7 linked regions of the Oryctolagus cuniculus genome follow. The protein of the gene in region 6 interacts with the protein of the main gene of each other region in a pairwise test. Links are inferred from orthologs where the notes say so. Each region holds a gene or a part of one and is shown on either strand. Other genes may lie near its edges. The genes, in order: EMD, TRIM41, zinc finger protein 124, SYT17, HAT1, MEOX2 and SHFL.

Evidence for each region.
Region 1: the proteins of MEOX2 (region 6) and EMD interact in binary tests that used the Homo sapiens proteins (3 or more experiments, as listed by UniProt). The two-hybrid records come from large-scale screens. The link is inferred for Oryctolagus cuniculus from reciprocal best matches to the Homo sapiens genes MEOX2 and EMD.
Region 2: the proteins of MEOX2 (region 6) and TRIM41 interact in binary tests that used the Homo sapiens proteins (3 or more experiments, as listed by UniProt). The two-hybrid records come from large-scale screens. The link is inferred for Oryctolagus cuniculus from reciprocal best matches to the Homo sapiens genes MEOX2 and TRIM41.
Region 3: the proteins of MEOX2 (region 6) and zinc finger protein 124 interact in binary tests that used the Homo sapiens proteins (3 or more experiments, as listed by UniProt). The two-hybrid records come from large-scale screens. The link is inferred for Oryctolagus cuniculus from reciprocal best matches to the Homo sapiens genes MEOX2 and ZNF124.
Region 4: the proteins of MEOX2 (region 6) and SYT17 interact in binary tests that used the Homo sapiens proteins (3 or more experiments, as listed by UniProt). The two-hybrid records come from large-scale screens. The link is inferred for Oryctolagus cuniculus from reciprocal best matches to the Homo sapiens genes MEOX2 and SYT17.
Region 5: the proteins of MEOX2 (region 6) and HAT1 interact in binary tests that used the Homo sapiens proteins (3 or more experiments, as listed by UniProt). The two-hybrid records come from large-scale screens. The link is inferred for Oryctolagus cuniculus from reciprocal best matches to the Homo sapiens genes MEOX2 and HAT1.
Region 7: the proteins of MEOX2 (region 6) and SHFL interact in binary tests that used the Homo sapiens proteins (3 or more experiments, as listed by UniProt). The two-hybrid records come from large-scale screens. The link is inferred for Oryctolagus cuniculus from reciprocal best matches to the Homo sapiens genes MEOX2 and SHFL.

What each region holds. Positions count from the first base shown.
Region 1 is NC_091453.1:132,604,016-132,608,561, reverse strand, and holds EMD (emerin), read right to left. Parts: upstream 3,059-4,546; coding exon 2,977-3,058; intron 2,823-2,976; coding exon 2,715-2,822; intron 2,572-2,714; coding exon 2,494-2,571; intron 2,282-2,493; coding exon 2,148-2,281; intron 1,233-2,147; coding exon 1,186-1,232; intron 1,107-1,185; coding exon 785-1,106; downstream 1-784. UniProt on the Homo sapiens protein: Stabilizes and promotes the formation of a nuclear actin cortical network. Stimulates actin polymerization in vitro by binding and stabilizing the pointed end of growing filaments. Inhibits beta-catenin activity by preventing its accumulation in the nucleus.
Region 2 is NC_091445.1:34,924,572-34,928,366, reverse strand, and holds part of TRIM41 (E3 ubiquitin-protein ligase TRIM41), read right to left. Parts: intron 1,728-3,795; coding exon 1,497-1,727; intron 958-1,496; coding exon 935-957; intron 742-934; coding exon 614-741; intron 213-613; coding exon 1-212.
Region 3 is NC_091447.1:64,590,528-64,593,986, forward strand, and holds part of zinc finger protein 124, read right to left. Parts: intron 3,349-3,459; coding exon 3,288-3,348; intron 2,741-3,287; coding exon 1,930-2,740; 3' UTR 1-1,929. UniProt on the Homo sapiens protein: May be involved in transcriptional regulation.
Region 4 is NC_091450.1:21,228,239-21,232,033, forward strand, and holds part of SYT17 (synaptotagmin-17), read right to left. Parts: intron 2,429-3,795; coding exon 2,308-2,428; intron 769-2,307; coding exon 613-768; intron 1-612. UniProt on the Homo sapiens protein: Plays a role in dendrite formation by melanocytes.
Region 5 is NC_091434.1:69,121,152-69,124,946, forward strand, and holds the end of HAT1 (histone acetyltransferase type B catalytic subunit), read right to left. Parts: intron 863-3,795; coding exon 695-862; 3' UTR 413-694; downstream 1-412. UniProt on the Homo sapiens protein: Histone acetyltransferase that plays a role in different biological processes including cell cycle progression, glucose metabolism, histone production or DNA damage repair. Coordinates histone production and acetylation via H4 promoter binding.
Region 6 is NC_091447.1:7,289,351-7,293,799, forward strand, and holds the start of MEOX2 (homeobox protein MOX-2), read right to left. Parts: upstream 3,026-4,449; 5' UTR 2,738-3,025; coding exon 2,224-2,737; intron 1-2,223. UniProt on the Homo sapiens protein: Mesodermal transcription factor that plays a key role in somitogenesis and somitogenesis and limb muscle differentiation. Required during limb development for normal appendicular muscle formation and for the normal regulation of myogenic genes.
Region 7 is NC_091447.1:67,206,157-67,210,544, forward strand, and holds the start of SHFL (shiftless antiviral inhibitor of ribosomal frameshifting protein), read right to left. Parts: upstream 2,921-4,388; 5' UTR 2,637-2,920; coding exon 2,616-2,636; intron 2,120-2,615; coding exon 1,996-2,119; intron 1,867-1,995; coding exon 1,817-1,866; intron 604-1,816; coding exon 565-603; intron 465-564; coding exon 315-464; intron 1-314.

The sequences.
Region 1 (4,546 bases), on a different chromosome or scaffold from region 6:
AGGAACGACCTTCCAGACCCACCACCAAGATGGCTTGTTTACGTTCTATCCTAATGCCCTTGGAAGCTGAAGTTCGTTTCAACCTTTCCTGATGGGAGCGCTTGCAAACCACACTGTGCCTGCAGCCTCACCTGCATTTCCAGGTGGGTTCTCCAGACCCCTTGCTGTTATCACAGTTCTTTTCTTAAGTAGTTACCAGTGCTTTGGGGAGTCAGGGAATAAACCCCCAAACAACACATGAACCTAGTCAGCGGTAGCATTTGATTCCTATGCCAAGACCAAAGCAAAACCACAGAATCAATAAAGCCAGGTGACAATCCTTAAAAAACCTTAAGACCCAGAGACCCCAAAGCATGGCAGCCAGCCTCTCCCCCAGCAGGAAGAGCCAACACATTAAAAATAAACGGTCTTTATTGCGTCCACGAAAACAAAGTCGAGGTGGCCCTTGGTTAACCTCAAAAAGGTGACAACGAACAGGAGGCATGCATGAGCACATGACAACATCTCTGAAGGAGTGAAGTCTTGCCCTCCCAGGCCCTAAGGGTCAGAGGCAAGCAGGGCCAGGAGGCTCCAGAGGAAGGCACGCCCAGGCCTACCAGAACGTGAAGGGCCCGAGTCTGCTGCCTCCCTGGTGGGAGCAGGCAGGGGGAGCAAGCACTGCTCAGGGCTAGGCCCAGCCCCCAAAGCTAGAACACACAGAAAAGCCCCCACCCCCACCCCCAGCACACACTGCACTAAGGCAGACAGCCAGGACTTCAAAGAGCTGGCTCTGAAATCAAGACCCTCAGGGATCCATCCAGAAGGGGTTGCCTTCCTCTGCCTGCAAGGAATAGTAAACAAAGAGCAGGAAGGCAGCAAAGACCAGGAAAAGCAGCAGCTGGCCCCAGAGTGGGACCTGGCGGTCCTGACCCAGACCAGCTGCAGGGGCCTGCTTTTCTGGTCGGATGGCACGGCGGGCGAGCCATGATGGAGAAGGCGAAGAGGCCACAGAAGAGGAGGATGCAGGGTAATAGGACAGGCCCAAGGAACTCCTGGAGACGTTGGAAACAGGGCGGTAGTGTGCGATGCTCTGGTAGGCACTGTCACGGCCATATGTGGAGCGTTCCCTAATGCAAAAGAGGGGAGCAGGTGAGCCAGGAGAGCTAGGCCCAGAATCACTGCTCCCAGGGCCTTCCCACTACTCACCTGTCCTTGTCCTCCTCTTCAGAAGAGAAAAGATGGTCACTGCGCACCTGCAGACCAGAATCGAGGTGACGGGACTGGCCAGCAGGGTCAGCACAGCCTGTCGTATTACTCAGCCCACTCTAACCATTGCTTAAAGGCCAGACAGGGCAGGCATTGTGGCGTGGCAGGTTTGGTTGCCAGTTAGGGTGCCCATATCCCATACGGAGTGCCAGTTCAAGTTTTGGCTGGTTTGCTTCTGGTCCCCTGCTACCCCTGTGGAAAACCTAGATGGAGTTCTGGGCTCCTGGCTTTGCCATGGCCCCCATCCTGGGCATTTAGGACATTAACCAGGGGATGGAAGACCTCACTTTCTCTTTTTGTCTTCCTGTTGCTCTGGTTTCAAGCAGATGAAAATAAACATTTTTTTTTTTAAGATTCTACTTATTTATTTGAAAGGCAGAGTTAGAGAGGGAGAGATCTTCCACCTGTTGGTTAACTCCCCAAATGGCCACAATGGCCAGGGCTGAGCCAGGCTGAAGCCAGGAGCCTGGAATTCCATCCAGGTCTCCCATGGGAGTGGCAGGAGCCCAAGTACTCACACCATCCCCCACTGCTTTCCCAGGCACAGTAGCAGGGAGCTGGATCAGAAGTGGAGCAGCCAGGACTCCAACCTGGATGCACATGGGATGCTGGCACTGCAGGCGGTAGCTTAACCTGCTGTGCCACAGCACTGACCCCAGAACCCTCTTTTCTCCCCCTGGATTCTGAGTTGGAACTTCAGATCCTGACCAGGGTGCAGGCCACATCCTGTGTGCTCTAGTCAAATACTCTTGACACGCCCCGTAGCAAAGTCCTAACTCATCCTAACTCTCTCTGGAAACCTAGGAGCTAGCATTTGTACCCAGTGATGCTGGGATTTACCCAAACCCAGCTGTCATCCCTTCAAGCTGCCCCCGGATATGAGGTGCCCGACGGCAGCTCACCTGGTGGTGGGAGGTGTCAGCATCAGAAAGCGAAGTCCCGGGTTGCCGGAAGCCTTTGGATGTGCCCACAGACTCGGGCTCCCCGTAAGTCCTGGTGCTCAAGTAACTCTCCTCGTAGTAGTCATCATTATAGCCTTGAAAAAGGGAGCACTGGTAGCAGAGGGCAGACCCGTGTTCCCCAGCTGCTCCAGGGACCCTTATTTAAACAGCGTTTTTGGGGCCCCTCTCAGGTCGCTGAGGCTGGTGGGGAGTCGAGGCCTCAGGTTTTCCCTACGCCCACGGTCCGGGACAGGGTGGGTGAAGGTGTTGGGGTGATGGTGTTAAGGGTGTCAATTCCTTGCCTTACCCTTGCTCTGGTAAAGTAAGGCGTCCTCTTTCTTGGGCAGGTCGTACTTATCCGAGTCCACAGATGCCGAATCCAAGTCTGAATTGAGGGGGGGGACGAGACCATTTTCCCCCAGGCTTCCCTCCCTTCTTCGCAGTGCCTCTCTCGGCTAGCAACCCACCCCCCACGCCACACCCTCGAAATCCCACCCTCCCTGTCACCACCGGCAGCCAGCTGCTCACCCGAGAACCGATAGGAGAACGAGGAAGCAGACGAGTTGGGTGGGGAGAGCCTCCGCCTCTGGGTCTCGTACTCGAAGATTTTCTTTTCGTAGAGCTTGCGAGTGGAGCCTGACCAGACAGCGGGCGCGGGGCGGTCAGGGTCGTGGGCTGCGAGCCCAGGGAGGGAATCTGGGTAGGGGACGCAGGCGGGGGGTACCGGGGGGCTGCGAGACGGCGCGCGGGAGAGCGAGTCCCGGGAGGCGTCCCGCCCGCTCCCGCGTACCCACGACTGGCCCGTGCGGAATGTTGTACTGGCGCAGCACGGCGGCCAGCTCGGTGTCCGACAGGACCGCGTAGTCGTCCATCGCGGGCGCGGCCGGCAGGTGGCGAAGGGCTGGGGGCAGCCCGGGCCTGGCGACACAGGCCAAGCAACACCACTGCCTCGCAGGGCTCGGGAGCGGCCGCGCTTGCGTCACGTCTGCGTCACGCTCCCGTCATGGCCGCGGGCTCCGCAGGCTGCGCGCGCTGCGCGGGGCGGAGCCAAACCACAAGGAGGAGCCGGCACGGACCGGTCTAGCTGTGGGAGCGGGCGGGGCGGGCCTGGCGAGCTCGTATTTCAAAAACGTGCGAGATTGGTTTGTGGCGGAAGAGGGGCGGGGCCTGTGTGGGAGCCAAAGTGGCTCAGACTACTCAGGCCGTGGGAGTGGGCGGGGCTGCACGCTCGAGAAAAGGGGCTGGACGGGCACGCCAAGACGTCACACGCAGGCGCTTCTGAGCTAGACTCGCGGGAGGGGCGGAGCCTATGCGACCCGAACCGGTAGAAACCGGCCAGAACGTGGGAGCTAGGGAGCCGGCGGCGTGGGTGTCTTTGCGGTGGTTCGGGCCGGTTGACTCTTGCCACATCCCTGCGCCTGCACTCGTCGTCCCCCTTTTCCCGGGATCCCAGGCCGAGGGTTCTCCCGCAGCAGCGGGAAGGAGCCACCCTTTGCACAGCGCCGCTCTCGGGCCAGCCACTGCTGTCTACGCTTTGGGTGCGCTACGCGGACCCCCTGGCCCAGGCCGGCCTCGCTGACCTGCACCGGCCCTCGCCTGCGCACCTGCGCCCATCGGTTCCCATCGCCTCCCTCCCTCCTTCCCTTGCTCCTCCCGCCCTCCACCCGGGAGGAAATGGGGCACTGGGCCAGGAGGACGCGGGCACTCCTGGAGCAAACAGCCTTCGAAGGGGCCCGGCGGGCCGTTCCAGCGGGCACGGGCAGAGCGCGCTTCGGAGAGGGAGTGTGCCCTCCCAGCCCACCCTACTGTCAACCCGGGGTACTGGGTGGAAGGGAAGGGGGCTCCAGTCGGAATGGCCCTGAGCCCAGTGACCAGGAGGGGGCCGGGCAGGGGCAGAGGAGCCTGGTGAGCCGTGAGAGACTGCCAAGGCTTGCTCAGGTTCCTGTACTGTGGCTGGGTTGGCAAGGGTCTTAATCAGAAGAGGGCTGTCCCCTTGGGGAGTCGAAAGGAAGTGACAGAAGTGGGTGCATGAAGAGATGAGGTGCCGTCCTGGCCTCACAGATGTTAGCTGGTGACAAGAAAGTGCGAGGGCTCTGATCAGCTCCAGGCTGAAGGGCCCAAACTGGTGATGGTCACAGGCCAGTTCTCTGAGGAAGATTGCTCACACAGAATGGGGACAGACAGACCAGGGAAGAATGTGGAAGAGACGAGGCCCTTTGACCGTAGACAAAAACCCTAAGGAAGAGGGGTTTCCGTTTGCCAGATTCTAGAATAAAGACCTGGCCCAGTCTGTTCCTAGCAATGTGGGAGAAGTTGTGTGCATTCCCAAAGACAGTGTGCATGGCAGGAAAAGGCAGGAG
Region 2 (3,795 bases), on a different chromosome or scaffold from region 6:
ACCCACTGCCCAACCCCTCCGACCGCCCACCTCTACCTCCCAGTAGTGCCGGCCAGAGCGGAAGCCCTGGGCCCCCAGTACACAGCAGTCAGCTGAGAAGCGCTTGGGATGGTCAACAACCTCCTGCCGCCTTTCTGCCAGGCGGACACCACGGCGATCAGGGGACAACATCAAGGCCGGATGAGCTGTGTCAGGGTCCAGTGTCAGGTCCACTTGGGAGGGGAGAGGACAAATATATTCAAGCTAGAACAACTGTTCCCCAACAGTAGCCAACTCCATAGGCTCAGCCTTCCCTGCTGCTCCCCTACTGCCCCCACCTCTTCTTTTCAGTTCCCTAAACTCAGGGAACTTCAGTTCCCTAGAGGCTAGGCTCCGGTTCCCTGGGTCCACTTCTTTCCTTACTCTTGTCCCCAGGATACCTGACAGGTGTTCCCTTCTGCCTAGCTCTCACCACCCTATCGGACCTCAAAACATACCTGGGCTAGAACAGAAACTACTATTGGCTTAAAAGCTCACAGGACCTACTTGCATCCTCCATCTCAGACCCCCATACTTCCCCTGCAGCCCAATATCCCTCAGAACCCAGAAATGAAAGGCAAAGTGACATTCTTACCTCTTGCAGCCTGACAGAACATTCGGCTCATTTTCCTCACAATGGCATCTGTCAGGAAATCATGGCTATGGGGTTGGCACAGATCAGGGGACCAGATCTCTGGTGGTTGCAGCTGTACCTCTTCACACCTGGAGGAAGGGGACCGGGCAGGGGGTGGGACCATGATATTCCAAGAGGGAAGAGCAGAAGTGAGGGAAAGGAGACAGTGGGCCAGGCGGTAGAAACTCAGGTCATTGGGAAGGAAGGAGAGAGCCACCCCAAAGAGGCAATGATGGGGACTGGATGGTACTGGGTCACAAAGGGTACCGGGTGGGAACACACCTACTGAAAGTCTCCTTGATGTCCTGGGAATAAAAGAAACAAAAAAAGGGAGAGGGAGAAAAAAGACAAAGAGAATGTCAGCTGCACAGAGATCGCTCCTTTTTCCCAGTCTTCAGCTAGAAACAACCTAACTTGAACAACGGAGAAGCAGCACCCTTAAAGCCCTAAATAAACATGTTTCAACTCAGCCACCACCATTCCTCACCATACCCAAACCTCACCCATCCTGCTATAAGCCTACTAATAAACAGAATTTATAATATGTCTTGGTCACCTTTTTCAGGATGTCACTGTCAAAAGTTCATTCCTGAGCTCTCATTACATTCCTCCTAACAAATTTTACTTTTTTTTCAATGGCTATAATCGTGTAATAGTCACAGATACCTCATTCAACATTAGTTCTGCCTCCAGTCTCAAGACTGTTTTGGTCTTCAGGTTGAAACACTGTGGTATACTCCCAGTGAGAAAACAGGCAGCTCTGGACAATATTTGGTAAGCACTATCTGACAGGGCAAATAGGGTGCTTGGGAAACTGGGAGTAGAGAAGGGAAATGCTGCTCACCTGAAGCAGCCGTAGACCACCCTGCTGACTCCGTTCCTGAGCCTCAGCCAGCAAACGGCTCAGCTGGGTGGCCTGCTCTGAGAGGCGGCTGGCTGCAGCTCCCGCACGCCCCAACTGGGCTTCATGCATCTCTCGGAGGCGCCGCTCCAGCCCTGCCTGCTCTTCAGCCAGAAACCGTGTCAACCGCCCAAACTCTGAAGCCACAGCTGCAAGCTCTAACTTCATCTGGCTCTGGAACAGTGCAAAGGGAGGGGTGGGTATCAATTCAACATAAAGAGAAACGTTGAGTTATGGGATGGGTGACCAGCACAGCAGTTAAGTCGCCATTTGGGATAATCGCATCCCATATCAGAGTGCCTGGTTTGAGTCCACTTTAGATCCAGCTTTATACTAACTTGTGCCCTGGGAAGATGGCTCAGGTATTTGGGTCCCTGCCATCTACAGGAAAGAACCAGACTGAGTTCTGGTCTCCCAGCTTCTGCATTGCCTTAACTCTGATCATGCAGGTATTTGGGGCATGAACAAGCAGACAGAAGATCATTCTGTCTCTCTGCCATTCAAATTCAAAAATAAAAAGATATGGTAGTAAAAAGAGGCCCCTGTCTCCCTCTCCACCCCTTAGCCTTACCATGTACCACCCCCACACTTTTGGCATCCTCATTCTATACTCACCAACCTCTGCTTGGAATACTTATCTCTACACTGTGTACCTAATATGACTCATCCTTGAAGTCTAAGCTTACATATTTTGAGAGAAGCTTTCTATTATTCAGATCTCAATCAAGACTACTTCCATAAATACCATAACTTCTTCGTGGTATATACAATATTTGAAATGCTATGTTTACAATGAAGTATCTTTTTATATTCTTTTCCCCAATATACCCTAAGCCCCTAGAGGGAGGGACTGGGTTTGTCTTTGCCATTGCTTCCTCAGACCTTGGCAGAGTCCTGACCACAGAGAAGGCACTTGGGTGGGAATATCTGAAGCCCCATGGGGCTCCATTTTGAATCTTACTACAGGGAACTGATTTGAGGACTCTCCTTGGAAAATAAAATTTCACTTATATTAGTACTTGCATATAACCCACACATATTTTCCTACATATTTTAAATCATCTGTAGATTATTTCCAATTACCAATACAATGCAGATTTTATGTAAACAGATACTGTATTGTTAGAGAATAATGGCAGAGAAAACAAAGTCTGTGCAGCCACACTTTTTTTTCCCCTACATATTTTAGCTCTGCAGTAGGCTTAAACTATAGAGGTAGGTATATTTTTCACCTAGTTACCATCAGCTGAAGACATTCTCTGGATAAAAGGCCAGGGATTAGGTTAAGTCACATGGGATTCTTGCATCCTATGTTTGAGTTCCCAGTTTTGAGTTCTGACTGTTCCACTTTTGAATCAGTTTCTTGCTACTGCACCTAGGAAGGCAGTAAATGGTGGCCCAGTTGGTTGGACCCTTGCCACCCATGTAGAAAACCCAGATGGAGTTTCCAGCTCCTGACTTCAGCCTGGCCTACCCCCAGCTGTTGGGGCATTTGGGGAGTGAACTAGCAGAGAGAAGATTGTTCTGTCTCTGCCTTTCAAATAAATAAATAAACTTTAAAAAAAAAAAAAAGTAACAGGCCAGAGTGGGAGAATTCTGGCTGGTAAAGTGGGTAAGGCACATAGGAAGGTTCACTCTTTGCCCCAATGACATTCAGATCTCTAGCACATCTTTTCTGTACCCTGGAGAACCTGAAATATCAATTTGGGCAGCTGGCCAGAGTTAATATCGCTCTGACTCCTAGTTATACATTTCATCATTCAGTGCTTCCCAGTTGCCAGCAAGAGTTCCTAATGAGCAGTGATGAGCATAGACCCTGAAGTGGTCAAGGCCCAGGCACTGGCCAGAAAGAAAGGTTTTGGGAAGGAGAGAGGAAAAGGGACAGAAAGGAGTGTCTTGGGATGGTTTCTGAAGCTCACAGTGTCAGCTCATACCAGCAGGACCTGCTGGCCGTACAAAAACAGGCAGGAGGTATGAGGTAGGAATTAGGGGGAAATTATCTAAAAAGACCCCTTGGGGAAGAGTGAGCAATAATGAAAAGAGCTCATTAACACTGTACTAGGAGATATTTGGTCTCTGCTATGCTAATTCTTCTCCCTTAAACACACCGGCCCCCTCCCAGAAGTAAGTTTCCCAGGACGACATCTCCCTCATGTTCAGGGCCGTTGTGGCTACCACCTGCATCTACCCTGGGACCTGGACTTATCTGGTGGTTGCTGCATGGGTTTTGCTTTGTTCCTTT
Region 3 (3,459 bases), about 57 Mb from region 6:
TGTGGAGCCTCTGGGGACATTTGCACTAACACAACTATGAGAAAAAATGGAAGCCCAGTAAGCACTGACAGTTGTGGGAACACTCCTGATTGGTAAGCTGAAGAATCAGGAAAATGGATTGGAAGTGTCCGCACACTGTCCATTTAGTTATCTCTGTAAGTGGCACCTCCAAATCGTGAGTAATATTCGCTCTGTCTTCCAAGTATCATGGAACTTAGGTTACTTGATGAATTTTAATGTGGCATTACAAAGCAAATCCTGGAAAGGTTGGTTTCATATTCACATCACTTAATCAAGGAAACACATCTCCGAATCTAGATTTTAACATGCTCTGTACTAAATTCCAAGTGAATTAGCCAAGGATCAATTAGAAAGATGACAGACTAGAGGGCAATCTAAGAAAATAATTCACATGAGATTATATTGCATGACATACCAAGACTAATGACAATTACTTTTTAGCACAGAAGATAGGTTAAACTTTTCACAAAAGTTTTTTTCTCCATGAGGAAGAGGAAGAAATTCATAATGGGGAAGTGGTTTCCAAAGCCTGTCACTTGAGGCCAATAACAAATCTCAACATTTAACAAATTAATTTTCCCTCTTCTCTTTTTTCATTTGCATTGAGTTCTCAAGACACAGTTAATTTTTCAGTAGCTCCATTAGTCATAGGATCATCGAAAAACTAATGTGAAAACTACAGTTACAACTACATTCCATCCACCCATGGCCCTAACACACTCAAAATAGAATGAGAAAAGTTTCACTGAGAAAAGAAAAACACTACCTAATTAAACTTAGGCTCTATTGCTCTTGGTCTATTTAGGGAAATATTCCACTGCCCAGTTTGTTTGTTCTACATATCATCATATGAATATCATCCATTGATATTTATTTTTTTTTGAAAGTCACAGTTACAGGGAGAGGATAGAGAGGTCTTCCATCTACCGGTTTACTCCCCACATGGTTGCAATGGCCAGAGCTGGGCTAGGCTGAAGCCAGGAGCCAGGAGCTTCCTCAAGGTCTCCCACGTGGGTGCAGGGGCCCAAGAACGCGGGCCATCCTCCACTGCTTTCTCAGGCACATTAGTAGGAGCAGCCAGGACTTGAACCAGTGCCATATGGGATGCTGGTGTTACAGGCGGTGGCCTTACCCACTATTCCACTATACTAGCCCCCAACTGAAGATTTTTCCACATTGTCCATACGCATGGTTTCATTTGAGCTTGTAGAGCTAAAATTTTTCTGACACCCTTTAAAAAATTATTGTTTATTTGAAAGGCAGGGTGAAACATAGTGATCTTCCATCCCTTGCTTGACTCCCCAAAGAGTCCCAATCACCAAGGCTGGTCCATATTTATAAGACCAACTCCACTGCGGTCTCCCATGTGGGTTGCATGGGCTCAAGGAGTTGGGCTGCCTTCCATTACTTTCCCAGGTACATCATCAAGGAGTTGGATTAAAAGCAGAGCAGCCATGCAGGACAACAGGCACTCCAATACAGGATGCTTGTGTTGCAGGCAGCAGCTTAGCCTGTTGCACAACACCAGATTTATGTTTACATGGAATCTCTCCACTATGTTCTCTCATGTGGGCTAGAAAGGTTGTGTGATCTTGAAGGCATTTGCAAACTTATTATGCAGTGTTTCTCTTGAATCTGATATATTTAGCACTTTGGAAAGGAAGTGAAACAGAATGTTCACCTGTTCAGTGTTTATTGTTCATGTATTAATGAAGGAAACAGGACTTTAACACATTTTTACACACATAGTCACTCTGAGTTCTGTGTCTATACAAGGAACTGGGAAATGAGAATGCTGTCCCAAAACCCTTACATTCACAGGGTTTCTCTGCAGTGTGATTTTTTTTTCATGTAACAAAGTAACTGGACTGACTGAATGCCTTCCTGCATTTCTCACATTCACAGCGTTTATTTGCAATGAGTCCTTTCATGTCTTCGAACGGAACTGGAACAACTGAAGGCCTTCCCACACTTGCCACATTCATAGGGTTTCTCTCCAGTGTGAGTCCTTTCATGCATCTGTAAGGACTGCTGAGTACTTAAAGGTTTCCCACATCTTCCACACTCATAGGGCTTTTCTCCAGTGTGCGTCTTTTTGTGAACTCGAAGGGAACTGGAACAACTGAAGGCTTTCCCACACTGCTTACATTCATAGGGCTTCTCTCCAGAGTGAGACCTCTCATGTACTCGAACAGAACTGGAAGAACTAAAGGCTTTCCCACACTGCTTACATTCATAGGGTTTCTCTCCAGAGTGAGTCCTCTCATGTACCTGCAAGGAACTGTAAGTACTCAAGGCTTTCCCACATTTGCTACACCCATAGGGCTTCTCCCCAGTGTGAGTCCTCTCATGGATGTGAAATGAATTGCTGTAACAAAAGGTTTTGCCACACACCTTACATTGATAAGGTCTATCTCCACTGTGCGCTCTCCTGTGTCTCTGAAGGCTTCTTAACCATGTGAATGTTTTCCCACATTCATCACATTCATAGGGCCTGTCTCCAGTGTGAGTTCTTTCATGTCTTCGCAAGGAACTGTTACTACTGAAGGCTTCCCCACGCTGCACACATCCATACGGCTTCTCCCCAGTGTGAGTCCTTTTGTGATGTCTCAAGGATCTGTGAGACCTGAAGATGCTATCACACTGTTCACATTCATAGGGTTTCCCTCTGTTTTTCTGATCCCTATATGGTTTGTTTCCAGAGTCTGATATGACATGCCTATGAAGAGAGAAATGGCTGTTCACCACCTCATCACACACACTGCTGTTATAAGGTCTTAAGGCACAAGGGCTTTTCTGCATAACATAATGCAGAATATGTCCGAAGGCTTCACCACATTGACCACCTTCCTTACTTTCCCAGTCTCTTTACTGCATCATAGCTGGATAGAAAGCAGCTTATTATGAAGGATTTCTGTACTAATGATCTTATATTTACTAACAGGTACTGGTTTTACATTGTCAACAGGATCAGGCCAAATGGAGCCTTTGTGCTCCTGCACTGCTGGCGTCTCAATGTATCTCTGCCAAAATGGCCCAACCACGGATATTATGCAAACAGCGATGTTCACATGGGGTTGCTTAATACTGTTTCCAACTCAGTTTAAAACAGGAGCATCTATACCACATGCAAGCACACAAACTGAGGATATTCTGTAATAATTAAAGGGGAAATTTTGCTCATTTTGTTGCTTTTTTAAACATTTCTTGACATTTTGAGACTCTCTTCTTACAGAATATTGTTTCTGCTTGTGAATATAAATTACCTTAGATTTCTCCTAGGATTCCTGTACTCATTTCCAATGTTATGGTCGTCCTGTATTATTCCTAAAGTGCAGGAGAAGAAACATCTTTATAAAACTGCAAACTTAGAGAAACGATGAGATCATGCCTGAATCACCTACTGAGGGAACCCTACCCTTTCCATAGCCCATGTCA
Region 4 (3,795 bases), on a different chromosome or scaffold from region 6:
ACCCTCCAATGGCCGCCGCGGCCGGCGCGCTGCGGCCGGCGCACCGCATCGATCCGATGGCAGGAGCCAGGAGCCAGGTGCTTTTCCTGGTCTCCCATGGGGTGCAGGGCCCAAGCACCTGGGCCATCCTCCACTGCACTCCCGGGCCACAGCAGAGGGCTGGCCTGGAAGAGGGGCAACCGGGACAGAATCCGGCGCCCCGACCGGGACTAGAACCCGGTGTGCCGGCGCCGCTAGGCGGAGGATTAGCCTAGTGAGCCGCGGCGCCGGCCGATCATTTCCTCTTTACAACACGTCTGTGCCACAAGGACTATTATTGTCCACATTTTACAGATAAGGAAACTGAGGCTCAGGTGAGTTTAGAACTTGCCTTCAGTTACTACACAGCCGTGCCAGGAAATCTGGCTTCAGGGCCCACATTCGTCACAATTACGTTGCACGGTTCTGCGACTCTCACCCAAGTTCACAGATGGCCACTGGATTCAAATCCAGACAGCTGAACACCAGCCATGAAGCTCTCAAATACAAGGCTCTCTCCAGAGGCCCTTTGTCTTGAGGCCGCCTTCTGTCTCTACGACGTGCCTCCCCCAGGGCTCCTGGCACGCCACCTACCTGTAAACACTAGGCTGGCGTTTTCCAGTTCTTCCTGGGGCACTTTGAAGCTGAAGGATTCATTGTAGAAGGGATCGATTGTGCCTCTTAAGAAGGAGGTCTTCTTGGTTTTCACAAGCTTGAGTCCATGCACCAGCTGGATTTTCACAAAGGGGTCTGAAAATCGGACAAAGCATCACAGAACACCATCAGACGCAAATAATTTGTTCAGCCTCCATCCATCCTTTCAACTTTTCATCCATCTCTCAGTCCATGCACCCATCCACTGATCCACCATCCATCCACGACCCACCATCCATCCATGATCCACCATCCATCCATGATCCACCATCCCTCCATGATCACCATCCATCCTTTAGGTGACAGATCCACCTCATCAGTCCATCCATTGAGTCACTGATCCACCCACCCATCCATCCATCAGTCCAAGCAGCCACTCCTCCTCTCATTGATTCATTCCCCCATCTATCCGTCTACTACTCATTCATCATTTTCTCATCCATCTGCTTATCCATTCATCCCTTTCTCTGTTCCTTCAGCCATCTGATACTTATGGAACTGCTCCCATCTGTTAGGTGCTGTGTTCACCGTACAGATGAGAAAGCTGAAGACTCAAGATGAGAAATGATTTGCTTAAGATCTGCCTGATGGAGGCAACACCAGGTGGAGAGGCTGTCCCAGCTACCTGAGGACTCCCATTATCACGTCAGTGAGCCCATCTACAGGAGAATGGAGATGGTATAGTTATAACTATCATTCTTCAATCACGCTATAATGGGATTCCTGGACTTTATCCACTTTAGCATCTGTTTAAACAAACCAACGAGATGAATATTATTAATGTGTCCATTTCTGAGATGGCAAAGTTGAGGCACAGGGAGGCATCCTGGGGTAAAATAACTTCTCTAAGGCCACATTATTTGCAAGCTGTGAAACTGAGATTTTGTTCCAGGCAGGCTGACATCAGAAGCCTTAATCATTTTATCAAACTGACTCCTCTATTGTGGCGCGTCTGGAATTCTCCAGCCTCGATACATTCCTGCCAGTGGTCCCTCGGAAACCTCTATTTTTGTAATGTGGCTTTTGAGACTGTGAGGTATCTTCTAGCTTCAGCTGTCACCTTATAGAAAAGTAATTTATTTTTGCTATTGTACTTAGAAAAGGCAGCAGAGGGGATCCAGGGACCATGGCTGCTTTCACAACAATATCTCCAGATGGAACGGAATCTGCTCTGTTTCATTAAAAGTCACGTTGGAATTGGTTTTTCTATAAAGCAGACACTAAATACAACAGTCATTTCAGAGCTAGGATTTACAAAGGTTCATGGCACATATGAAGTGGGCTGTGAACAAACCTCCAGGCTTGTGTGTGGGCCTCCATGCCGTCTCTGCACACTATCGCCACCTAGAGCACACTGTCTTTATTGCAGGCACAGTGTTTGGAAAGGCAAAAGGAACTTCCTCCGACTCTAGGTTCTTGGTAGCACACCTGGTCCCAGTCAACCTCACCAATTCAAACCGGGTTCCTGCTTCACCCTAAGAATCACCTAAGGACTTATTTTCTCTCTTGAGCCGGCAGCCTAGTTCTGGATGCTGTGCACCACCCAAGGTATCATCAGTGGTACCCAGGATGCAGTCCACTGAACACACGCAGGTGCCCCATTCACGACGTGGAGGGCAGGGGATGGCACTGTACCTGACCCTTGGCTCACATCCGTCTGAAGAAGCTGCTTGGCTCGAATGACATCAACATTCAGTCGCCCAGCACTCGGGAGGTAATTCAGAGACAGGAGCAGCTCCCCCAGCTCCACCTCGTTCTGCGGGGAGAGGAGATGTTCAGGAACAACTTTTCCTGTTCTTTTGTGCCCTCTGTACCCCTCGTGCAGCTCACAAATGAACAGCTGGTAGGGAGATCAGCTGACAGTGGGTGCCTCCTCTTCTTCTTTTAGCCTCTGCCTCCAATTATCTTCATCCATCTAGCTCAGAAAGTTTTTTCTGCTCTTACAATGTTTAACAGCAACAGCCAAAGCAGCCGTAATAAAAAAATAAGTGCAATATGCCATGTTCTATGCTAAGTACTTGATATGTGATTGATTAATTTAATCTTCATATTAAGTATTAACCCCATTTAACAGGCAAGAAAACTAAGCTCAGAATGCTTTAAATAACATGTCCAAGGTCATCCATCTGGAAAGAGGCAGAGCTGGCCATTGGCGCCAGTGAGGCTGACTCCAGGTGCTCAGACCACTATGCTGTGGGATCCCCAGCAGGCGGAACACCCTGCAAAGTCAGTCTCTGGGTAAGAACTCTGTTCTCGACACACAGCCCACGACAGAGCCTACGCTTCTAGCCCGTCATGGCAGGACTTGTTGGAAAGCACTGACCAAGGCCCCTGATGTCAACACTCCCACGCTTGCAGAAAATCCACACGAGCACAAGTGCACGACTCCACACTGCCAAGTTCCTAGACAAGAGCAGCTGCCCTCCCTACCATCTGCTCCTTTTCAAAAAATGATTGAAATTATACAGATTTGCCAGCGTAACATCTCCCCACATCGCCGTCACTCAGCTGTGAGCATTATCACCATTTTGCCCAACGATGTTTCACACATACCTGTATTTGTAAAAAAAAATGTTGGCCGAATATTTAAAAATAGGTTCTAAACGTGATGTCAGTTTTGTTTGAGTCCCGGCTGCTCTGATTCCATTCCAGCTCCCTGCTAATGTGCCAGGGTAAATCAGTAAAAGATGACCTAAGTCCTTGGGCCTCCGACACTCACATGGGAGACCAGGATGGAGTTTCTGGGCTCCTGGCTTCAGTATGGCCCAGCCCTGGCCATTGTGGCCATTTGGAGTGAATAGGCAGATGGAAAATCTTTCTATTACTCTGCCTTTCAAGTAAATAAATAAATCTTTAAAAAATATCTTACATAGAACATACAGTCAGCCCTCCCTCTCTGCAGGTTCTGCATCCACAAACACCAAGCACCACAGATTCAAAGCATTTGAAGAAGAAATCACACCCATACTGAACAAGTGCAGACCGGTTGTCTTGCCATCTTTCCCTAAACAATAAGTGTAACAAGGATTTACGTGGCAGTTACAGGGTATCAGGTGTTATTACACATCTGGAGGGGCCGGTGCTGTGGCGCAGTGGGATAAAGCCCTGGCCTGCAGTGCCGGC
Region 5 (3,795 bases), on a different chromosome or scaffold from region 6:
TATAAAGGATGTATTTCAATAAAAGTGTGGTAAACTAAATTTTACAAGCTGCTATCCTCTCATTATTAATAAAATGTTTATGCTAACTTCTAAATTATCTTCAGTTAATATATGATATCAAACATTTAGGTTTTAGGCTGTAGCTCGTTTCCTTTTTCTCTCTTAGCTACCTACCCCCAACAAGCCATTACAGGAGTTTATTTAACACAAAACAAACCTATACCAGGAACATTTCCTATTTAGAAAAATATAGGAAAAATAAATTACTAGGATGAGTTTTCTTAATGTATTGTAAAGGTGTCATATAAAAATCTCAGAAACAAATTATGGGAGGCATGATATTAAAAGCATAAAATCTAAGATTTTGAACAAGACAAAGTTTATCCTAAGTATTTAAGAATCTTAACACACATTAACGTATCACAACTAAGCATTTATTATACTGTTTAAGAAGGTAAGCAACTGCAGTGATATTTCAGAAGCTATATCTTTTTTCTTAAATGTAATATATGCTCATAAACTCTAGACAGTATTTTAAAATATACAATCTCTCCAAAAGAAAATATTCAACTAAAGATAGACAACTTTTAATGTAAGTAAATGTTACTAGATTTTAAAATTAAAGTCATCATCAGATTTTTCACAGCACAATGTACAGAAATTTGCAAGCTTCCTGTACATAGTAGTATAATCTTTACTCTTGAGCAAGTCGTTCAATAACACGCCGGTAATCTTCCACTAGTTCCTGAAAGCTTTCTTCCAGCTGTTCATGTTGCATGCTTATTTCTATTTGGTTCATCTGGTTTGTCAGTTCTTCTGGTCTGAGACATTTTCTCATCTTAGCAAGATCTCTCTGCTTTTTCTAAGCAACAAACACAATTTATTTGTTAGACAAAGAAAGCAGTTATACATATTTATAACCTTACATTTTAAGTCTCCAGTGTTAAAAATAAGAACAACGGAAATGTAGTCAAAGTTGTCCTATACATTTCTTAAGGAAGCCTAAACATAATGTTAACCATGAATTGCAACCCTTTAAAATCACTTAAAATTGTTTTAAGTGACGCCGACACAGTAACTAGTAGCCCCCTCCAAAGCATAGTCAAGAATTCTGTCCTGTATAGACACTCAAACTATTTTAATGAATAAAACACATTAACTGAAGAAAGGTAACCAATATTAAGTGCCATTATTTTTTACTTCACTATTCTAACACTGATTGATTATGTTCATTTTTAATTCAAATCTGGCCTTTTTTCTTGCCACTATGCTCATTTCTAGTTTGTCCTACCCAGAGACGTATTTATGGACCATATACTAACTTTAACATTTTGGAACTATTGGAAAACTGTGGAAAAGTTTTAGATAAATGAAAATCGGTCAGATTTTAAAATATGTCAATTAGCATTCAGTGAATCTCAGTACTAAGTTCCAGATATATGTTATTTTTAAAAAACAGACAGAAGGGGAAGATGCTCCAATGATTTCACTCCCCAAATGCCTGCACGAGCTGGGCTGGGTTCAAGGCCAAGGAGAGAACTGGAAACTCAATCCAGGTCTCCCCCACATAGGCAGCAGGAACCTTGAGCCTTCACTGCCTGCTCCCCTACCCTCGCCCAGTCTCCATTAGCAGAAAGCCAGAGCCAGGAATGGAAGTGGCCACTGTACCCAAGTACCCCAATATGGTACATGAGTGCCCTAATCAGCTTAAGTTTTAACTGCTGCACCAAATGTATTATGAAGCTCTCCCCATGATTCTGAGAAGTATACTGCTGTGCTGAGGCATGTGCAAAACGGAGCTGGTAACAACTTTATGCAGGACACCATGTTAGAACATACTGTGTCAGTGATACTCGTAAGAGGACTGGACAACTGAGGTAGCAGCTACTGCTGTAGTTCAAGCCAGGGGTGATAAAACTCTTAGTAGCAGCAGACATGGAGAGTGCAGGGCAGATCTACAGGATAAAGTACTGGGTGACAGGAGGAAGAATGATGAAAAACAAACAACAAGATTCCTGGTAGTGGCAACACTGCAATACATGAAATTGTCATGCTTTAAGATAATCTGCTCTATGGGGCCTGCGCTGTGGTGTAGTGGGTAAAGCTGCCGCCTGCAGTGCTGGCATCCCATATGGGTGCTGGTTCGAGTCCTGGCTGCTCCACTTCCTATCCAGCTCTCTCCTATGGCCTAGGAAAGCAGTGGAAGACAGCCCAACGTGGGAGACCTGGAAGAAGCTCCTGGCTCCTAGCTTCGGATCAGCGCAGCTCCGGCCACTGTGACCAAATGGGGAGTGAACCAATGGATGGAAGACCTCTCTCTCTCTCTCTCTCTCTCTCTCTGTAACTCTGCCTTTCAAGTAAATAAATAAATCTTTTTTAAAAAAAAGATAATCTGCTCTAGATTAAAATATCAATTCTGTTTTACTGGAGCATATAATAAAGAGCCGACTTCACAGATATTAGAAGTCACATACGTTAACTCATATAATCCTAATAGTGCTGAGATAGGTATTAGATGGAGAACAAAAAGGAGACAGGAATTAAGTAACTCGCCCAAGCTCACAGAGCTAGCTAGCAAGCTGAGAAACCAGGATTCAAACCCTGACAGTCCAGTGGGGAGTCCAAATATTAGTTTTTGTGTTAAAATGCCTTTCAAGAGACAAGTAAAAAAGAAAAATCTTAAAAAAATACCTTAAACTATCATAAAAATTAACAAATGCATCTTACTAGGGGCCCTAATAATTTTAGAAAACCAGGCAAATCTGTCATGATCATCATTTAAAAAGCTTAAAATTAAACATTTCTAAAGCAAGGTACAGTAAAGTACTAGAAGTAAGCTTATATTGAAATAAGCTGACACTACAAAGAAAAATTGATCCTGTGTATAAATTGTAATTGTTTCATTAACTTTTTATAGTCCCTAAACTACATATTCTGTTTTGTCCACATGTGATGTATTATAAATTAACTTTTTAAAACATTTATTTTAAAAAAAGAACTTAAGCTCATTTGCAGAAGACCTCTATTCAGCATTAACACCTGGGAGCACAAGTGCACCCTGGAAGAGAACTTTCATATTAGAATGGCTGGAGACTTTCTTTAGTCTTGAAAATAATTCTTTTCCCAATACAAACAAAAACTTCTGTTTCATACAGTAGTGCTGTTGACACTATGCAATTAATGCAAATTTAAAATGGTATTGAAGTCACTTTATTTATATTAAATCTGACCTGAATATGAATTCATTTCCAGAAAATAAAACTTCTTGGCTAGTTTTCAGATTCCAAAAAGGCTTATAAATATATTTTTAAAAATGACATCATTCCTAAGATCTCCTTAACTTCTAACTGTTGAACATTCCCTTTTGTGAAGTACAGTGTAGACAGGTTCTTTTGTAAGAATTTATTGAAATAAAAATGGTGTTGAGGCATATAAATTCCCAAGACTTTCCAAGACGTTTTACAAGACTTCTTTGAAGACATACACACTATGGAAATGAAAAGCCTCCCTAGTGAGTTCACTTCCTCAGTAGGGAAGCATTCCCATGTTGTGGAAAGGAAGCCAAATTCCCAGATGTTAGTAACTTGTCCTGCCAGAACCAGACCCCAACACTGGGTTTCCTGATTCCAAATCCAATGACATTGTAACAAGAATTATAGATTCTCTACCTATAAACCAATTATTAATTAATATATGCCTGTGAAACAAAGGTTTCAATGCTAAAAACCAAGCAGTTGTATCAATTTCTTTTTAGCCACCTTTTTCAGACTTACCATTTTTGAACACCTGAAGATT
Region 6 (4,449 bases):
AAGACATCTTAAACTTAAATCTACCTAAATGTCTAGTCAATATTAACTCAGAGGTTAAAACTGGCCAATTAAGTTTAATTTCAATAATTATGCCATAAATAGATCGAGCCAGAAACTGTTGTGATGTTTCCTTTTAGTCAAACATTCTTCCAGAACGTACCATCAAAGAAAACCCTCATCTAAAGTCCCCAATGATTTTATCCTTGGTGATGGCTGAGTGTATTTCCCACTCAAGCTGTAATCTATCAATACTTTATGCGGCTGACACAAACTTGCTTTTCATGGACCCTAAATATCAGCTTCAACATGTAAAAATGAATTTTACTTTGTTATATGGCTAATTTCTCATCCATGAGAGAGGAGCTAAGGAGCATTAAAGGAGGCCAATTTTTTTTTTTTTTAAGTTTCATTGAAACAATTCGTGGGCATCAGTTCTTGTATTCCACTTTCTCTATCTGTCCCAAACAAAATCACACTTGCCCTATGAAATTCGGATTTGCCCTAAGACACTCAGGGGTACTGGGCTGAGTCAGGACGCCTGAGGAGGGAGCCCATCATCCGGCTTCTCCCGCGGAGAGTGAGAAGGGCCGCTCACTCAGAGCTTCTAGTTCTAGAAGGATGTTCTCATCAGCCCGAACCGCCTGAACTGCCACCGCTTCCACACCAACACTGATATCCAGCGCCCAGTCTGTGCAAGGGCCATTGCTGTCTAAAACTGGCCCTTGTTTATTTATTTATCTTTAAATAATGAAGATGAAAACCTTCTTGCTGGGATTAACCTTTCAACTGGTCTTAAGAGAGTTTCATTTGTAGTTAGTAAAACCCATTAAAAATGAGTGACATCGCTAGTAACTTTCTTAGATATTAACTAATTTGTGATGGGGCATTAATGGTCCACCCCTGACCCTGGAAAGTAAAAGTCGAAAGAAATCCAGCGCAGGCTAAACTGAAGAAAGATCGGTAGCATCGCTGCAAAGCAATTCCAACGCTCATTTCCATCTGCGTCCTTTATGTGGCCTAAAGCTTTACAGGAGATAGACATCTGCCAACTCTTTCAACCCACGGCTGAGATTATCTTCTGGGACTATAGACATCAATTTCGCAAAAGAAACACACGCTAAGTGTTCTATTGCGCAAATGACATCTTCCTAAAACACGAAGGAACCCAGGGTCACAACTCCCCTTCAGTGAAAAATCCTCTGAACAATTTCATCACAATGCAGGCAGGTAAGGGCTTTGCAGACCTGCCTCTGTGGTTAGATTTCCCGGGCAAGCTGCGCGTTCCGGCGCTCCCAGGGCTGTTAGGTTCCGGGCACGCAGACGAACGCCTGGTGGGTGCCCCGTTGCGCGTATCACTTTGAGCAGACAGCACTGGACCTGCCCTTGGATTCCCAGTTTTTGTCGTATTGCACTCATTGAGAGAGGAGTTGATCTTCCACCCTGAAACCTCTTCGATTCTCCCTTTGCATTGGTATCATACGAATACTACTAACTACTCCTAACAATCGTCTTTCTCCAATACTTTTCGTCATCTATTTGTTTAAAAATTTCTGACATGCTCCTTAAAAAAAAAAAAAAAAAAAAAAAAAAAACTTCTTAGACACTATCTTCCTTTCCCAAGAAAGGGAAGCATTTACCATTTAGAATAGGTTGCTATTTAAGGAATCCTGAAATCCAGAATAAATAAATAAATAACCTAAAACTTTTTTTTTTTCTCATACGCTCTGCCAAGTTCCATTCCAAGGTTCCAAATATTGTGCAACGATTTGGAAAGCCAGTTAACGATGGGAAAAAGCGAGCCATTCGGAGTCGGGAACATGCGAGGCAGAAGTCCGGGAGCCGCACCCGCACGCCCGCCCCACGGACACGCATCCCCAGGCGCACGCCCCTCCCGGCGCCGCGCCCGGCCGTCACGCCGCGCAATCGATTTCACAAACTGTCACTCGCTCCCCTTTGGTCTCAAACTTCTGGAGAAGTAGTTTGGGACCTTGGGAAGCCTAGAGCTGCCGCTGCTGGCTGCGTGTAGGTTGCGCACAAGGGTAACACTCCCCTCGCCCCCCCAAGTAACTGGGACCACAGCCGCATCTCCCAAACCTGCGCGGGCTGGACACTGCCCCAGCTTTTGCTGTGCCCCGCTGCAGCCTCCAGCGCTTGCAAACTGCCGCCCTGGCCCGACCCAGCTGCGTCTGCACTCCGGCCGAGGGTCCTTGGCGCGCACCTTACCTGAGCTGTCGCTTTTCCTCTTGCCCCCGCTTCGCTTCTCCACCTCCGCGGGTGACAGCGTCTGACGACCGTAGTCCCCCGGCGCGCAAGCGGCCCCAGTCGGGGTGCTGGAGCCCAGGCTGGAGGAGTTGGAGCACAGGACCGGCGGGCTGCTGCCCAGTTCCGGGGGCCCTCCGGAGTCCGGCTGCAGGCAGAGGCTGTGGCGCGCCGCGCTGGGCGGGGAGGACATCTGCGGGAGGTGCCAGTTGGTTTGCAGCGCCTGGTGCTGTTGCTGCTGGTGGTGGTGGTGGTGGTGATGGTGGTGGTGGTGGTGGCCCCGGTGGTGCTGGCTGGCGAACATGCCCTCTTCGTTGGGGTATCCCGCGATGATGCACGAGGACGACGAAGTGGAGAGCTCCGGGTAGGACATGTGGTCGGATCTCCCGTGCAGGGCGAGCGACGACTGAGAGAACGGGTGCAAGCCTTGCGCCGTGGCGTGCGGGCTGCGCAGGCAGCCAAAGAGCGGGTGTTCCATAGCATGCAAGTCGCGGGCTCCAGGCGGGAAGACTTCAAGACGACCGCACCAACGCTGGCACCACCAGCCTGCGGGCGCTTCTCCGTGGCAATCGTGTGGCTTCCCCCGCACCCTACGCCGCCCCTGTGTCCCCAGGCCAGAGCCGCGCGGGCTTTCCGGCAGCGCTCGTGTAATCCCTGTCCTAAACCCTCGGGCCGGTCTCCTTCACATATAAACACTGGGACCCAGAGGAGCTTCCCTCCGAGCGACTCGGATGTCAAGAGTGGGAGCGGTCGAAGCCAAAAGAAGGTGGTCCCAGAGAACTATACGCCTGGGGGGTGGGGTGGGGGGGGGAGGAAGGGCTCTGGGAGGTTATAAATAGAGTGTAACGTGAGCCGGGGGCTGGCTTAGGAGCCTGGCGCTGACCACATGCGAGCTCCTCCAGCGCGCCCGCTCAGTCTGCGCCCCGCGCTCCCAGCCCCGCTTCCCACTGCCGGCTGGACAGTCCTTCCGCGTGTCCCCGCCCGCCCGGCCCTGCCAGCAGCCCCGGGCTGCAAGCCGCGCACCAGGCGCCGGGATCCCGCCAGTCCCGGCTCCGCACCCACCCCCCAGCCCCTACCCGCGCACCATGACTTGTCAGTGCCATTTGGAAACTGTCACCCGCAGGAAAGCTTAGGGGTGCGCCCAACCCCTGGGGGAGTGAGCGCGGCTGAAAAGGGCAGAGCAGAGCCAAGTCTAGCGCACGCTGCGAGAAGTTTCTCAGACTTCGCTCGCTGCGTGCGCCCCGGGGCACAAGGCGCGCCCGGCTTTTTGCCGCCGAGGTGTGTGCGCCGGCCGGGCACCGGGCTCTGGGGTAGGGTCCAGGTGCGGAGTTGCGCAGCGCGACCCGCAAGTGGGCAGCGCTCGAGACCGAATGGACCGGGACTGGGTGCGGTGAGCCGGCGGAAAGTGCGCGGAAGCCCGCGCCCAGGCATCCCGACGTGAGCCGCCTACTGGTGCCCTGCCTTGGCGTCCCGCCCCCTGACCGTCACAGCGAAACTGGTCCCACTCCATTTCCCAGCCACCAGTCCATCTAGAGCAAGCTGTCCTGGGCCGGGAAGATTCTGAAGAGAGTTTGTCCCTGTCACATGCCACGTGCGGATTTGCACGCGTGCTCCCAGCCTCGCCCCCTCCTCCCCCAGGAGGCAACCCAGGGCCCTTGATTTTCCTCCAGAACCCCACCGCCTCTCTCCCGCTCCCACACAAACCAGCTCCTTCCACACACTCCTCCTCACTGCGCTATGGTGCCACTGATTGGGAAACCGAACACTCTGATGCGTGCCATCGGCGCTTGGGCGTTTCGGGTTTGCATCCCGCAAACAGGAAAGCATAAGTTTGGAGTCCCTGAGCGCATGCGGGCCGCTGGCTCTGTCCCGGGGGCGCACCGGGCCGCGGGGCAGCCGGCTCCCAGCTGGGCCGGTGCCGTCAGGAGCGCGCGTGCCCTCACTGCTCCCGGCCGTGCCACCAGCGGTGTTGCCCCGTTATTTTCATTGTCTCAGGTGTCCCGAGGATGGGGACCAGGTCTTTGAAGTTGTTCCTGAGATTAATGGGCACAGCAGACGGGGCTGGACATCTGGTTCGAATTAGGGGCGAGTACTGAGCCATCTCTGGGCGGTGTCCCCGACGGACGGGCAGGACCCTCGGGCCCCTGCCCGTCCCCGCGGTCCTTTGGAGGGGAGCCGCAGCGCCGCAGC
Region 7 (4,388 bases), about 60 Mb from region 6:
TCAAGGTCACTGACTTGACCTTGGCAGCCTGACACTGGCCACTGGTGGGGACGTCTGTGCCACAGTCACCGGCCAGCGCACAAACGTCAGCTTCCCCCATCTCCCCGTCCCCCCTGCTTTCTCCCAGGGGAACCTGGACGCCACATTTAGGGTTGTGGCTTTGGAGTCAAGTTCAATTCGCAACCAGCGGGGTCGGAGGTCAGAAGTGCAGCTGCAGGTCAGCCGGTGGGATGCGGGTCAAGCTCGGAGGTCAGAGGTCAGGGGTCAGGAGTGGCGTTCAGGACAGAAACCAAGGTCAAGTTTTAGGCGGTCACCTCCTTCCGCTGGGGCACACGGCGCCACCAGACGTGGTCGCAGGAGGAACAGGCGAACTGCCTGTCCACGGCAGGGATTAGGTCATCCTGGGCCCGCTGGAACATGCGCAGGTTGGCCTCCGTCAGCGGCAGGAGGGAGGTGGCCACGGCCTGCGGGACGGGCAGGGTGGGGACAGGGGTCACCGTCCTCTGCCTTGCACACGTCTGCCGCCACCCCCACACGGGTCCCCCTGCCCAGCTGCCAACTCACCTGGATGTCTCGGTCCTGCTTCATGTCCTCTGGGGGGTCCTGCGTGGAGACGCCAGGGGCAGAAACTGGGGCAGGCACTCGGGTCTCCCCTTTACCCGCCTTTGCTGGGGGAGGGGCCTCCCAGAGCTCAGAGCAGGTGCACAGCCAGCAAGGAGCAGGTACATGGCTTCCCTTAGCCATTCCGTTAGCCCCGACAGGTGGGCGCACCTGTTCTCGCCATTGCTCATATGGGGAAACTGAGGCCCAGAGGCAGGGGAGGGCTTGCCCGAGATCATCCTAACGCCCGCAAAAGCCAGGGCTGGGCCAGGCCGAAGCAGGGAGCCTGGAGCTCCATCGGGGTCTCCCATGTGGGCGGTAGGGGCCCAAGCTCTTCAACCATCCCTGTCGCCTCCCAGCGTGCCCATGGCAGGAAGCTGGACCGGAAGAGGCGGAGCCGGACTCCAACCAGGCATTCCGCCTCGCGCTAAACACCAGCTCGCCACCTATTTGAGGCCCCGTCGCTTTCGGCTAGTGCTTGGGGCTCTGGATTTGAACAGACACAGGTTCAAGTCCTGGCTTTGGCACTTCCGGCTGTGAGAACGTGGGCAAACCACTCGTCCCCCCGGGGCCCCTGGAGAAAGCATGACTTCACCACCGTGCCTCAGTACTGGTCTGTAAAATGGGCTGATCAATAATGGGTCCTGGCTCGTGTGGTGATCAAACAAGTCAGTTCCTGGAACCTGGCCCCTCGGGGAAGTGCCGGGTCAATGATTACCCTCTGTGATTATTTCTATCACATGCTTTATGCCTATAAAGATTAGGATGCGCACTTTATCTCCAGGTAGGTGAGATCCAGCCATTCCCACACAAAGCCAGTCATCACTCATTCATTCGTTCAACACAAGGACGCCCTAGCCGCTTCCCCCTTCCCGCCTCTTCTGGGGTCAGTTCCCCCTCTTCTCTCCCAGCCTATGCTACCTGTCACCCCCTCCCCTGCTTTTCCATTCCAGGGCTCACTCCTCCCTGTCAAGGCTTTGCATCACCTCCTCCAGGGAGTCTTCCCTGACTTCCTGGGCTCCCTGGCACCAATGGCGGCGTCCGCTCCGCTCCATGGAACACAATCAGCACTTAATGAGCACCTACTGTTTGCAGGCTCCCTGGCCCAGCCGATGATTGAGGAAGGTGCTGTGTGTGGCCAGCCCTGCTCGCTCCAGAGGGTCCCCCCGGCTCTCCCGCCCGGTACCCCGACCTTGGAGGCCAGGGGACAGGTTACCTGCGCGTCCAGGTCATTACTGAGCTCCTGTCCGTCCTTCTGCTTTACCCCTGGCGGGATAAGACAGGGCCCCTGAGCGGCCTGCGCCGCCCAGACCCTCCCGCGGCTAGACCCTCCCGCGGCTGGGCCCTCCCGCGCCACGCCCCCTCGGCGCCGGCCGGGGACCCCCGCGCGCTCACCGTACACGATGGAGCGACCCACGCCGGTGTGGTCGCTGCCGAATTTCCTCATCAGAGCCCCGGCCTTCTTGGGCGACACCTTCCCATGAAACTTCTCCCGGAGGCGCCGGACGCTCTTCTCCAACTGGGACGGGGGGGGGGGGGGGGGACAGGTGGGCTCCGGTGGGGGGGGGAGGGACGAGCCGCCGCCCCTCCCCCAACTCCAGGTAACATTCCTGGGGCCTGAACTTTAGCCTTGGTTTTGGCCTCCGCCCCCTCCCCCCTTCCCACCATCTCTCCACGACATTTCCTGCACAACCCCCAAGTCCCTACAGGGTCTGGGGGTGGGAGCGGATGGCGGGCGCGGGTCCCAGCCTGCGGGCGGGGCGCACAGGTAAGGCCTGGGTCTGACCCCTGACCCCGCAGCCCCCGCTTCTCCTCGGGGGGAGGCCGCGCTTCGCTCCGGAGGCGGGGGACGTGAGCGGCGCGCTCCTCTCCGAGGGGGCCCGGGCGCTCGCCCTGAGCATGGGATGGGATGCGGATGGGGGTCCCCCAGGAACTGCGGAGCCCCCTCGGCGCCCCCGGGCCCCCCTCGGCGCCTGCCGCGGGCCCCTCGGCTCGCGGCCGTGGCCATCGCCTACCTCCACACCTTCCTGAGACATGGTGGTGGCGCGCAGGTCCCCGCGAGGGTCCGCACTGCGTGGCTCAGCCGCCCTCCTCGCTGGGCGCGCCCGTCGGTCCGGCCGCCGCGCAGGGCAGGGGGCGGGGTCTCGCGGCCGGCTCCGCCCTTCTGCCCGGGCCCGGTGTTTCGCTTTCGGTTCCGAAGTGGGGAACGGGTGCGCTGGCTCCGCCCCGGCTCCGCCTCTGCACTTGCGCCCCAAACCCAGGCGGGCGCGCGGGGTCTGCGCCCTGCGGCGGGGCGCGCGCACCTCGGGCGGGGGAGGCGGCGCGGCCTCTGCAGTCGGTCACATGTCCCCACGCTGCGCGGGGGCCGCGTCTTCACGTCCCCCGTGGGGGCGGGGCCGCCTCCGAAGGCAGCGGCGGGTCCCCGCGCCCCCCACTCCCCGCGTGCGCTCCCACGGACCGGGCGCTTGTTAGGACCTGGGGGGGTTTGTGGGGGGGGGTCCCTCCTCCCCTGCTGTTGAGTTCCTGACAGGCCACTGTGACGTTTCTGATCCTCAGTTTATCGCTCTGTAAAATGGGAATGATCCATAGGTGCTTGTGAAAAACACAGGGTGATGGGCCCCAGCTTTTGGGGGGCGCTTTAGAAATGTGCATTTTATTTTTTAAAAGTTTTATTTATTTGGCTGGCAGAGATAAAGAGAGAGAGTGCATTCCCATTTGCTGGTGGACTCCCTAAATGCCTGGGTCAGGCCGAAGCCAGGAGCAGGCATCTCAATCCGGGTCTCCCACGTGGGTGGCAGGGACCCAAGTGCTTGAGCCACCACCTGCTGCCTCCCAGGGCTGTGCTATAGTGGGAACTGGGACCTGGATCAGAGCCCAGGAGTTCAGCTCATGCCATGCAGGCCTCTCATGTGTCCCGTTAACCCTCTCAAGCCAAATGCTTGCTTTGGAATCTGCATTCTCAATCGGGCGGTTGAGGGGCCCATGGGGCCCCAGCAGAGGGGCCTGGGGAGCCTTTAGCTGGGACCCTCGGCCTGGGGACATCATCTCCTGCTTGGACAGAGCCCCAGAAGTTTGAGGTCATAGCTGGTGAGGATGGAGTCAGGTGAAAGAAGCAACTGCGTTTTCTCAGCCGCCTGCACAGAGCTGCGGACACTTTGGGCCAGTAGCTCTTTGCGATGGGGATCTGTCCCCGGCCCCCATGCCCTAGATGCCACCGGAGTCGTGGCCCTCCTCAGAAGTGGCCTCCGGACACTGCTGGAACACAGGGCGGTGTTGGGCACAGAGGTTTTGCTGCCGCCTGGGACGCTGGCATCCCATCTTCGAGTGCCAGGGTTTGAATCCCAGCTCCCGACTCCAGTGCCCTGCTGATGCGCACCCTGGGAGGCACCAGGAGATGGCAGGTGCACGGGGCTCCTAACACCTCTGGGGGAGACCTGGAGGGAGCTCCTGGCTCCTGGTTTTGGTCTGGTCCAGTGTTGGATGTTGTAGGCATTTGGGGAGGGAACCAGCGCATGGGAGATCTCTGTCTTTCAAATAAATAAAATCAATTATTAAGTTAAAAATATGCCTACCATAGGATTCATCAATCCTACAACAGGCACGCCCCTGTCACCCACGAGGGAGACTCGGATGGAGTTCCCAGCTCTTGGCTTCTGCCTGGCCCAGCCCTGGCTGCTGCAGGTATCTGGGAAGTGAATCAGCAGATGGAAGACCTCTGTAATAATAATTTTTTTTTTTTTGGCATTCCTCTCGGGGGTATGGTGACCCTCCCGTAGAGTTGAAGCCAT